Bombyx mori: one gene and its partners. The protein of the gene in region 3 purifies or fractionates together with the protein of the main gene of each other region. This does not show direct contact. Links are inferred from orthologs where the notes say so. Each region holds a gene or a part of one and is shown on either strand. Other genes may lie near its edges. The genes, in order: C2 domain-containing protein 5, cyclin dependent kinase 5 and acidic fibroblast growth factor intracellular-binding protein.

Region 1 (3,654 bases), on a different chromosome or scaffold from region 3:
AAAACGCTGAACAAATTCTCGAGATCCTCCAAAAAGTCCACTCGAAAAAGTCTCAGTAAATGGCCATCATTTTACTGAAATTATATTTCATCCCATATCATCTCATTTAATTTAATTTCATGCCAATTGATTAAGTTTACTTCGTTTTTTATTATTCATAACTGTAAATAATTAAAACGGTGAATTTTAAAAATCTTATTACTTGACGCTGGCTAATGTACAAACCGTGCTAAAGCCAAAAGCTAAATAAAAATAAGAAATATGGCGCTCACCGACGTCGTATCCGTTGGCGGCCTTGTTGGCGTTGAACGCGTCCCGGAGAGCCCTCTGTATCTCAGTCGCGTCCCGGTCACTTTCTGAGGCCTGGGTCACGATTCGTTGCATTACGACACAGATCCACTTACATTGGTCAAATTAATTAGATTTGACTGTTTCATCGTCCCCATTAGGTAAAGTTAATATATATATATATACTGTTAATAATAGTTAGTTGTAATATCAAATTGTCAAATCGATCAAGTGGTTTTTTACAATAGGTTTATAATATATAGATTTAGGGATAACTAAGGACATGAAGTCCTCATGGCCTCATGGATAAGACATCCGGTGCATTCGTATCTAGCGATGCAACGGTGTTCGAATCCCGCAGGCGGGTACCAACTTTTCTAATGAAATACGTACTTAACAAATGTTTACGATTGACTTTTACGGTAAAGGAATGACATCGTGCAATAGAAATAAAATCTGCAAAATTATAATTTGCGTAATTACTGGTGGTGGGACGTCTTGTGAGTCTGCACGGGTAGGTACCACCGCCCTGCTTATTTCTGCCGTGAAGCAGTAATGTGTTTCGATTTGAGGGGTGGGACAGCCGTTGTAACTATACTGAGAACTTAGAATTAATATCTCAGAGTGGGTGGCGGCATTTGCGTTGTAGTTGTCTATGGGCTCCTTAGTACCAGGTGGGCTGTGAGCTCGTCCACCCATCTAAGCAATAAGAAATAAATAAATAAAAAAAATTCGAAATATAAACATGTTTGTTTTTTGGTTAGGTCAGTTCAATTGTAAGGGTGGATCACCTTGAGCGCGGGGGGTGCGGGGGGCGGCAGCGCGCGCAGGCGGTACGCGGCCCCGCTGGCCAGCGCCACCACGCAGCGCTCGCCCACCGCCACGCGCGTGCACAGCGAGAACAGCGCGTTGGCACCCTGCGGACCACGCTCGATAAGGGGGGACAAGCGGGGGGCCACCCTACTAGTCCCCCCGGACCCACGGACACGCGGGGCACGCGACGTGTGTTACATTATAAGAGTTGAGAAGAGTGGATTTACAACATTTGAGTGGACTGCGAAGAGCCAAAAACAAATACATATACTTTTTCGCGTCATGGACCCCCGCTATAAGCGATACGTTCGGAAAGTGAAACGCTCGATCAAAAGCAACAATGAATTATAAAAACAGACGCTACAAATGATAATAATAATAATATCGACCTCAAATGAGGTTTATCTGACATGATTTGATTATCTTATATACATAATTATTATTATATAATAAAGACCCAGACAAAGAACAAATAAACTTATTCATCACACGAGTGCCCGACATGAGAATCGAACCCACGACCCTCGACGCAACAGTCAGGGCAGCTATCTGTACCGCCGAGTCGGTCAAATGACAAAAACAAATAAACGACAATGTTTGAATACTTCTACCTCTTATAAACAGTAACGACAGTCGCTGCTAACAACTACGAATGTTTTTACATTCTTCTGACTTATACATTTAACAGTGTCAAAAATTAACATTTTCTCTCTAAATTCTAACATCATTTCCATTTATTTTACACTTAAGACTTCGATAACAAAATATTTAAAGTACAATAAAAAATCGTAATAAACTCTTATCGGATAGTTCAAAAGAATTAAGCGCACACAGACAGGTAATTTTTAAAGTGAAACTTTTATTACATCGTCTCAATTTTTTTCGTCTGTGTGTTGCATGTCGCGTGACGGTCAGCCGCGGAGTAGGGATAGAGTGAAAGGCGATCGTCAGAGCAGCCAAGGCCAATATGGCGGCGCCTATAGTTCGCAGCAGCTGAGCGTGTAGTGTGTAGACTATTACTCATTTGTGCCAGTGCTCTACGCTATTTTGTTTGTTTTTGTCAGTGTTTGTAAATGTTGTTTGTCAAAGTTACATGCATATAATGTGAAAAAAAGTTTCACTTTTACCGTGCTTTCATAAAACCACACAATCTTTTTTTTTTGCATTAGTCATTTCTAAAATTAAAAATAGTAATGTTTGCCCAAACTCACCTGCATCCTCAGTTTGGCTAACAGCAGCTTGTGCAGCTCGTACTCTAAGAAGGGTAGCTGATCCGATATGTCCCTGGCGCCGGGCTCCGCCGTGGGGGGCGCCCTCCGCACGCGCGCCGCTGGAACACACGAGCGAGACATGGGGGCGGCGCCCGACCTGCCCCCCTTACACGTGCTCGGCACACGGTCGGGAATCACACCGTATAATAAAAATCGAAATCGCAAAAATTTAAATTTGCGTAAATACTGGGGTTCTCGTGGTCCCGCACCGATAAGATAGGATTTTTGCATTGCTGAAGTCTATAGGCGACGGTAACCACTGATCATGAGGTGCGCCGTATGCTCGTCTGCCCACAGGGGCAATAAAAAAAAGATACCACCGCGCTGCCTGATTCCGTCGCGAAGCAGTAACGCGACCCCAGACCGAAGGGTGGGACAACTGTTGTGCTGTAGAATCGGAGCTTAATTATGACTCAAGACGTCATCAGCATTATTGATGTCTATGGACTCCAGCAACAACTTATATCTCAGTCGGACACTCTTGTCAGAGTGGTCGTGGTTGCGTTGACGATATATAAACAGAAGCATTCGTTAGGTCGCCCACACACCCGATGACCGCCCTCCAGGTATGCTGTCTAGGTCTGGCGGTACAAATGCCACATGGGACCTTGTTTTTTAACCTAAGCTGGTAACCTAAGAAGGTTATGCCAGAGTAACTGGGCAAGTCCCAAATAGACCATTAGGGCTCGTTAACCCATCTGAAGTATAAAACTGAACGGTGGAACACGCGGGGTTTGCGTGAATGAATGAATGAATGAATGAATGAATGTTTTTTTTTATTTCAGACAACAACAACAAGTCCATATGTGTACATATGGAGTTTCTCGCCGGATCTTCTCAGTGGGTCGCGTTTCCGATCCGGTGATAGATTTTGCGAAGCGCTGCTCTTGCTAGGTCCCGTGTTAGCAACACTCCGGTTTAAGCCTCGTGAGCTCACCTACTAGTTAAGGTTATGCTGAAATAGCCTCTTAAGGCTATTAGCATAGGCAGGTAAGAAAAATTCTGTATTGAAACTGTGGAACGTGCCTGACTTTGCGTAAAGCTATATTGGCAGCCAGCGCTTACAGCACAGGCAGCTCCAAGTGCGAGGTACTCACCTACAGCAGTCAACGTGACGGCTTTGCCGTGCGTGGGCATGGTGCTGGGCTTGGCGCACGTGGCCAGCAGCACCGACGGCACCCGGGCGCGCCTGCGGACCAGAGTACGTTGTGACCACAGCAGGGACACACGGGCTGTCCTGAGACACACGCTTCGAGCGCCATCGACACACACTTGAAAATAT
Region 2 (4,291 bases), on a different chromosome or scaffold from region 3:
TTTTAAATATGTAGTCAGCTATCTGACTCTACATTTTCATTGCTAAATATAAATAAGTTTCATTTTAACAATCAATTTTGTTTTGTTTCAAAGTGCATTTATGTTTTACGCATCAATATTATACTTAATATTTATATGTTTTTACTTTTTAATTCATCATTTCATCTTTCATATTACACATTATTAAAGTCCATTTGTAAACCATTTGTTCATAAAGTTAACTTCATTTTAATTTAGGACATTTCAGTAATAATTATAAAATCGATTAAAAATATCACTAGTAGCCAAATACTGGAACCTTATCAATATAATTTGAAACATAACAATTCCCAATATTATGGTATTTAAAATTACTTGGTAAAAATACAGTATTTGGCAGTACTTTTCTTAAAATCTAATTAAGTCTCATCCTCACAACACTCTTCTATTTCATCATAGTTCTTTTCACAATAAATAAGTTCTGACGTACATTTGTACGGATGGATTGATTGTTAACATCGATCATTCTTGACTGACGGATTGAGATCGTGGAAATACGCATGCGCCATTGCATCATCAGCTGGCATTCTTAAAGCTGGATTGCAGGTGAGCAGCCGAGCGAGTAGATCTCGACCTCTAGCCGGCAATCTTGGTACAACTTGGGCGAGGCCTAAACTTGGCTGATAAACAGGCAAAGGTTTGTAGTCCGGCAGTTGAGTTACTCCAGGCCATGTGTCCTCATTGGGTGTACCTGATAAGTAAACATAGTTTGATTGAAAAAGGATAACTGACAGATTAATACACCCATACAATACCAGTGACACACTTCCTATTTGTATGTCAATGAATAAGTCTTTGCAAATGGCACAATATTTACAATGCAAGAGCTTTGATGTAATTTTCCTAGACAAATCTATATATTTTTACTAAAAATATGTAAAAGTTAACTATTATTTTGTAACACTTCAGTACACTCTGTAGGCATTTTTATAAATACTATGTTTACCGTAAGTTTCTGAAATGCAGAAGAAGAAATCTTATGATGGCAGAAAATTATATTCATTTGCTAATTAAAGTATTTATGATATATATATAGAAGGGGTCTGCAATATGACTCAGCAAAAAAATTAAATAACAACACAAAATTTGAAACATGAGTCGACTATTATCAAAGGCGGCAATCTGACTTTTTGACAATGATTGGTAAATCAGAAAAACGAATTATTGACTTTGTATTCCATTGGCAGTCACAAAACTCTTCGGAACGACATCTTAGATAAATAACAGGTTAACTATTAACCTTTATTTAATGCAGGTTTTGAACCGTATTCTTTGAAGGAGACGATTATATTCAAATAAATCTGTATTGACATATCAATAAAAAAAATTTGTCCAAATGTACAGATTGCCACCTTTGATAATAGACGACTCACATGTTCAAACTTTAATGGTATAATATGTATTTTTTAGTTTAATATGGTACATGATGTCATGATTGACTATTTTAGTAAAAAAAATGATTTATTATTTAAATGCCGAAGTGTTCATCAATTACAATAAGTTATAGGAAAGGAAACACTATTCCTACTTAATGACATTGTTCGACCGTGAGTGTTGGGATTAACATTCTTATATTATTTTGTACTTGGAGGACTAGGCTAACAACTTTTGTCAGGCCGGTAATCTTTATGCCAACCCATAGATTGTTTCTAACTTTTTTATGCAGAATCTGCAATCTAATAGGGGGTTGACTAGAAAATAGTATGTGTGGAATTATCAGACAGCTGTTTACTAAGCCCCCAACAGAATAAAGTAGCAATGGTGATATGGTATATTGTAAGCCTACTCTCTAGTTTGTTGGGAGAGTTAAAATTCAATAAATTTATTTTACATATTGTTATAATCTGTCCGATCCTTTAAATAAGGCATCAATCAGACATAATCATAGTTCTTACTTTTGCATAATTATATGCAGTTAATGTTGGTATTAAGCTCAGAGACTCGGCCATTCAAATTTAATTTAAGATCTAAACCAGTTTTGTGATATGACTTTTTATTGTCACCAAGAGCCCTTATGTGGTTTTCAATATAAAATCATAATTAGGCTTCCTAAATTCAGAATAGAGTAATAAAACTTTGGAGATTTATTATGATGAACTCACCTAAAAGCTTAAAAATCCTCTTTAATTGATCATCAACATCTGAACCTGGGAATAGCGGTCTGCCCGAATTTGCAAGTTCTGCAAATATACATCCAGCAGACCACATATCAATGCTTGTTGTGTACAACTTAGCACCAAATAATACATCAGGAGGCCGGTACCATAAGGTTACAACTTCAGCGGAATAGCACTTTACTGGTATGCCAAAAGCTCTGGCCAGACCAAAATCAGCTAACTTTAATTCACCGTTCTTGTTTATTAAGAGATTCTGTGGCTTCAAGTCCCTATGGAGAACGTTGTGGCTGTGACAAAAAGCTAGTCCTCGAAGTAATTGATACATGAATGATTTCACAACATCTAGATCTATTTCTCCATTCAAACTATCGAAGTATTTTTTTAAGTCTTGATCACAATGTTCAAACACTAGGGTTAATTTCTTTTCGCTGTGCAATACATCGTAAAGTCGCACTATATTTTTATGCTTTAATTCTTTGAGAAGACATATTTCACGAAGAGCGGAAGATGGTACTCCTTCATCGTCGTCGTCTAATCTAACACGTTTGAGCGCTACGATTTCGTGTGTTTCTTTATTCTTGGCTTTAAATACCGTACCATAGGTTCCTTCACCGATTTTTTCAAGTTTCTCATATTTTTGCATATTTTTGAACTACAGATTTACTCACTTTAGTTCGATCGATTGTTTTTAATTTAGACTGACTTATATTAAGTGTATAATCTATGGACTGACTGATTTTTGAGTAGTTGTTCTATTTTTCCAACCGGACAGGCACAGGTATCTTACTATACAGCCTACGCTTTTGATATATATTTTTTGAATAATGATAATATGAAGTGAAATTAAATGAATTTGATTAATTTGGAACGTTAATCACTTGACATGAAATGAAATTAAATGAGATGAGATAGTATGGGGTGAAATATAATCTCAGTAAAAAGTTGATTGTTTACTGAGACTTTTTTGTGGACTTTTTGGAAGATCCCGAGAAGCTACGTCCAGCGACTTTGTTTTATTTTCCCATATTTGTGTACTTTTACAGATACTAAACAGTTAATAAGCCACGATTAATCACACACTACCACATTTAAACCTGAAGAAACACTAAATATACAGAATAAAACAATTCACACAACTTCACTCCTCGCATTCCTGCTAAAAAGTCCTCTGTCTTATTAGTACATACTACATGTTGGAGTTTGAATATGAAAGTAATGGCCGGCAACAGTTGACACATGTAAGGTTACAGTTTCGAATATTGGAATTATTTTAAAAGTCTAAAATAAATAATTGTGTTCTCGTCAGTGAAGACAACGACTTCTCATCTAGACACGGTCAGAGCAACATCTAAGAGTTTTATAAAAAATAAAACATTGTAATAATGTTATAGTGTACAAAGTGTTTGCAATATAATTATATTAACCATGAAGCAGAGTGTTTTTAAATAGCCCCTCATCAACCTACAGAACCCAATCCCCTCAAATTTCACCGTCCAACACTACATACAACTATCTTATAAATCTACATATTATTATGCATGTGAAGGGCCGTCAAACATTCATTCGCAAACTTAGCAGCTGTGCAAATGGGTTCGGTAGTCAATTCGCGAACCCGTTTGCGCTTCCTCCTACACTTGTTTACGAATGTCTCACGAATTTCTCCTCCTTTTTAATTCGTCAATAGACATTGAAGAGAAAAAGAGTTTTGAATTCTTTCCCAGACATCATTAACAGCCATGCTGTTTTTATGGGATTTCTTTTGATGAAGATACGTTACACAGTAGACGTCACGAACTATGAAAATGACGATACGTCCGTTACCTTCGTAATCGTCGGCGCAACTGGGCAAACGAATGTGTGGGAGACTACGCGAAGGCTCGCGGTTCGCGCGCTTTGATGTCTGTTAAAAAACCGACACAGCTTGGAAAACCACGAATGTAGCGAAAACTTTGCATAATCATTTGCAAATGTCGTCCTACACTTGCGGGTTTGCGTATTCGTGCGCATGTGAGTGACCGGTGTTATAAACGTGCAAGGAAATCATAGTATTAGAGCATACAGGCGCAGGTCTAATGCTTTTTCTTTTTGGAAGAATTTGGATTTTGTGGCCTGGGAAAGAGACCTTTAAGGCAAGT
Region 3 (4,362 bases):
CGATAAGTGTTGGAACGAACGCCTTATGCTTCCCGAGTTACAGAAGTCAAACTTCTGAAGATGCAGAAGTCAAACTTCTGTTAATACGGAAGTTAAACTTCTGATAGGTAAAATCAGTAATGACTCACTTCGCGAGCGGGTCGGACAGCAAGAATGTGCTTCTTATATTGGCGACCACGTTTCCGGGCATCTCTTCCACTGCCTTGAACACTCTACGCACGTTGTCGAACTGACGACGACAGCATCGCAGAGGCGCGCCCGAGCGTTCCGCCACCTGGGACATTGGAAAAACGCGATTTAATAACGGACATTGTATTTTTTTTTTAAATTGGAAAACAATTTGTAGGGTTAACCTTGAAAATCGGTAAGATTTACAATTAATCATTGATCGCAACTATTTTTTTTTTAAATCAATATCCATTGCTCGCAATTGTGCATTCATCCTGGCACACTGGATGTCTCATTGATTTGACCATAAATGCTTTTTCCTTCTTGCTTTAAATAGACCAGCCTTTCTCGGACCCCGAAAAAACATGGGGGCGTTGTGTAGAGGCTTGGGAGGCGATTTGTAATTTCATCTAGGAGGACTCTTAGACACCGACTGAGCTCTCACTATAGTGGTTCTAAAGTAGGTCCATTCCAGCTAAAATAGAATTTATTCTCAATGTCGGCAGTAGACAAAATATAATAGAAACAGATCATCAAATTCAAGGTCCATCTATTTTTAAGTGATTACCAGAGCTCACAGGAACCCCAAGGTAATTTCAACTAATATATTGTCCAACAGCTGACCTACCATTAACACTGAATGACTTGTCAGCAGAATTAAATAATACATACCCATGTGTTATTCCAATTCAATCTAGCGCCAATAATCATGTCTATATTTTTTTACTGGATGTTAGTATTGTGTCAAATCTGAATCCTTAAAATGCTCTTAAAACTCACCTCATCTAAATCTTTTCTGTGTCTGGAGGATAACTTCCTTCCAAGCAACTCTCTTATGACTGCATCATCCAGGTCATAATATCTGTATAATGTTATAATATGAGCCACCTGCATAATATGGACCAATCATCACCTATATATTATAGTGTCTAGTGGTTATTGCACCTCGTAGTTATTACAATATGAATATTATTACCGATCAAGTGATAAGATGGAAGTCTCAATTTAATTGCTCAAAAGCTTTCATTTCTGAATGGAATGCATTAGAAAGAGGATGGTGGGTTCTAAGCGTAGGGGTTCAAAATACATCCCAATATTTAATTATAGGACATTATTCATTCACTGCAGAATTATATAATTTCTTTTGCCTAAAACAATAAACTCACTTCTCTATGAGCATGTGTTTCGTCTGTTCGTCCAGCTGGAAGATCATTTGCTCTGTCAACTTTGATGGTACCGTGAGCAGCCTCTCAAGCAATGCAAAAGTTCTGATGAATAAAATTAAAACAATATTTTTATGGTCATACATTCAACATTGAGTAAGATGATGGTGTTATCACAAAAGTGTTATCTGAAGAGACGCAATCAAATAATTTTCACATTTAGTACTTATATCTTATTATTGCCTTTGGCAGCTGAGCATACAGCCCACCTGATGGTAAGTGGTTTCCATCGCTTATGGACATCAACAATGCCAGGGACAAAGCCAAGCAGTTGTCACTTATGCTCTGAAGTCATTTGTTACCATGAGTTAATAAATTAATAATAGTAATGGTTATTTAAAAGGTATCTTTTGATATTAACCTGTAATGATCGAGTACATCGCTGGCTATCAGCTCTACAGATGTTCCTAAATGTTTGGCTGCACCACGCTGATGCAGAGTTGACACTGCTTCACTAGCTGAAAGTTACGTATCATTTTGTTTCTCAATAATTAAGACAATATTCTTTTGAAAGTTTTGGGAATTTCCAATAATAAAGACAGGTTTTCGTCATTTATAATAAATTATATAGATGCTATATATGCTATGATAAATATATATTCCGAATTCAACAAGTATATCTACTATATTCTGATAGGCTAGTCAAATATTCCCGTGTTTTGCACATACTCTATAATATATATTTCTTATGCTCATGTGTTGGTTGTAGTCTCGGACTAAAAAGAATTAAAATTAGACTTCGATTTGCAATTAGATTCTTAGTTTCTCAATTTAAATTCAGGGCAGGATATTGTTGAGCCCTCAAGATCTACATGAGAGACTTACGACCAAAGCCTTTTTAAGTTTCATACTACACCGAAATAGTCTGTCTGTTTTAATATAGTCACTCCTTTTTCTTCTGCCCTCTCACCCCCTGACACCAAATCATGAGTGCTAATGTACATCATAGTACCGTTATGCTGTCACACAGCAATGCTGTTATACTAGTCTTTGGTGGTAGGGTGTCTTGGTAACCCCTTGACATCAGGTGGGCCGTAGGCTCATCCAACTAAGCAATATTAAAAAATGCTTAGTTAGATGAGCTCCACTAAGGGTTTCATGGTAGTTGTATTATTGTTTTCAATTTTATTTATAAATTATAGTTTTAGCTAGAATTTTGTATCTACAAATATTGTTTTTATTCTGAAATAGGACCGACATTGAGGATATTAATAATATTTGAATATTAATGAATATAAGAGTTATTACTTTAATTAAGAACTAAAATTATATTTGTAATAAAAGCACATCAGCTGTACTCACATGAGCAACCCTCGATCCATAACTGGTATATTTCAGGATCGATCAGTGTATAATTACTAACGAATACATCAACTTCTGTGTACATTTTTTTGTTATTTGTCTTAACCTATTTGTTCTTTAACTTTGCATTTCTTTTTAATCGCTACCTATTTTAATGCATTTAAATAAATGATTTAATCGTAATTTTTGTAATTTGTTATTAGCAAAAAAAATATTTGTATATCAGACAAACGGAGGCACAGCCCATACAGCCATGAGCCAAACCTTTTATAGCTTTAGTGAAATTGATTGAAAATTATTTTGAAATAAAATTAAGGAATAGAAAAAATATAGTGTGTATTTGTTTAATTTTATAAATGTAATGAAGTTAGAAACCACATCCAGTGATTTTAATTTTCTTCTCTCCACCATTTAGTGTCATCTTTCACTCTTCCATTCATTTAAATCTTCTTCAAAATACGTTAGTCTTTCTGCCTAGATGTGGTGGTGGTCGACTTTTTGGGCGCTACAGATCATTGTCAACTATCAAACTATAACTTTTCGTTTTTTCTTTTACTAGAAAGCTAGCTTTCTTTAGAAGCTTTCTTTTACTAGGTACGGGAAGCAGGAATAAAATAGTTTGATACACCTTTTTTGTAGTGCATTTAAGTAATACTATTTTCAAAAATTTTAATGATTAAGTAACATTCAAGAATTTCGATTAAGTTACAACACGTTGAAGCACTAGGCAGGAATGACATGAAGTCAAATAAAACGGAACGCTAACGTTAAACCATAGATTATACGCAGTAACACAAACGAAAATGGCGAACTTACAGTAGTGTCACAATTAGATATGTATTAAAATAAATAAAAATGTTTTCAATAACATCTTGTACATTTTTATGTGTTTTTTTTGTACTCTGGAGTCCGGAAACATGTAAGTATTGAAATAACCGAAGCCATCAGTTTTGAAACACATATTTTGTTTACCACATTCAAACTTTGGTTTATAAGTTTTTCGTCCAAAATTTCGGTCGAAGGACCTTGATTTTATATAACTGCGGGTCTGTAGCATTTAATTATCGATTAAGGACAAGGTCCTCAATAAATTCGCTATAGTTTCCGTCAAAAACAACGAAAAAACAACTTTATTTTTAACGAAAAATTACGCATATTTGACTGGGGACTCTAACGGTAATAGCACTGCTAGTATTTAAAGATGGGTCCTTTCACTTTTGTGCTATGTGATATAGGAAAAAAAAAACATAAATAAACCATTCTTTAAAGTTGTAACATTCTCAACCAATTCTTTTTTAATATCGAAAATAAAAGTGCATTTTAACTAGCCTAAAGTAATTAATTAATGAAAAGTTTATTATAAGAATTACTGTGCAGTTTTAATAATATAAAAATTATTAAAAAATAATAAATCCCGGTGATATGAAAAATATTGCAAACCGATAATAATTAATGGTAATTAAGATGGTACAATTATAAGATTTTGTCATTGAACTATTACGTTATTGTTGATATCTATAGGCATTCATTAGTTGTTTATTATGCTTTGATCCTTGGTCTAGTGGCCAGTGACCTTGACTACTGTACTAACACCAAGGTCTGTCTTAAATTCTTCAATGCCTAACTCTACTTATGTTATATTTTCTACAATTTCTTGGTCTGAAATGAA

What was found.
Region 1: the proteins of acidic fibroblast growth factor intracellular-binding protein (region 3) and C2 domain-containing protein 5 purify together in Homo sapiens (affinity purification with mass spectrometry; 3 studies listed by BioGRID and IntAct, counting the BioPlex papers as one, with this or other methods). This does not show direct contact. The link is inferred for Bombyx mori from reciprocal best matches to the Homo sapiens genes FIBP and C2CD5.
Region 2: the proteins of acidic fibroblast growth factor intracellular-binding protein (region 3) and cyclin dependent kinase 5 purify together in Homo sapiens (affinity purification with mass spectrometry; 7 studies listed by BioGRID and IntAct, counting the BioPlex papers as one, with this or other methods). This does not show direct contact. The link is inferred for Bombyx mori from reciprocal best matches to the Homo sapiens genes FIBP and CDK5.

What each region holds. Positions count from the first base shown.
Region 1 is NC_085113.1:1,779,806-1,783,459, forward strand, and holds part of C2 domain-containing protein 5, read right to left. Parts: intron 3,562-3,654; coding exon 3,470-3,561; intron 2,432-3,469; coding exon 2,313-2,431; intron 1,206-2,312; coding exon 1,080-1,205; intron 364-1,079; coding exon 273-363; intron 1-272. UniProt on the Homo sapiens protein: Required for insulin-stimulated glucose transport and glucose transporter SLC2A4/GLUT4 translocation from intracellular glucose storage vesicle (GSV) to the plasma membrane (PM) in adipocytes.
Region 2 is NC_085125.1:9,569,084-9,573,374, forward strand, and holds cyclin dependent kinase 5, read right to left. Parts: upstream 2,810-4,291; 5' UTR 2,800-2,809; coding exon 2,142-2,799; intron 731-2,141; coding exon 492-730; 3' UTR 448-491; downstream 1-447. UniProt on the Homo sapiens protein: Proline-directed serine/threonine-protein kinase essential for neuronal cell cycle arrest and differentiation and may be involved in apoptotic cell death in neuronal diseases by triggering abortive cell cycle re-entry. Interacts with D1 and D3-type G1 cyclins.
Region 3 is NC_085129.1:16,405,917-16,410,278, forward strand, and holds the start of acidic fibroblast growth factor intracellular-binding protein, read right to left. Parts: upstream 2,947-4,362; 5' UTR 2,779-2,946; coding exon 2,694-2,778; intron 1,850-2,693; coding exon 1,753-1,849; intron 1,437-1,752; coding exon 1,335-1,436; intron 1,031-1,334; coding exon 949-1,030; intron 275-948; coding exon 129-274; intron 1-128. Other genes in the region: uncharacterized protein LOC105842300, read left to right, coding at 3,549-3,612. UniProt on the Homo sapiens protein: May be involved in mitogenic function of FGF1. May mediate with IER2 FGF-signaling in the establishment of laterality in the embryo.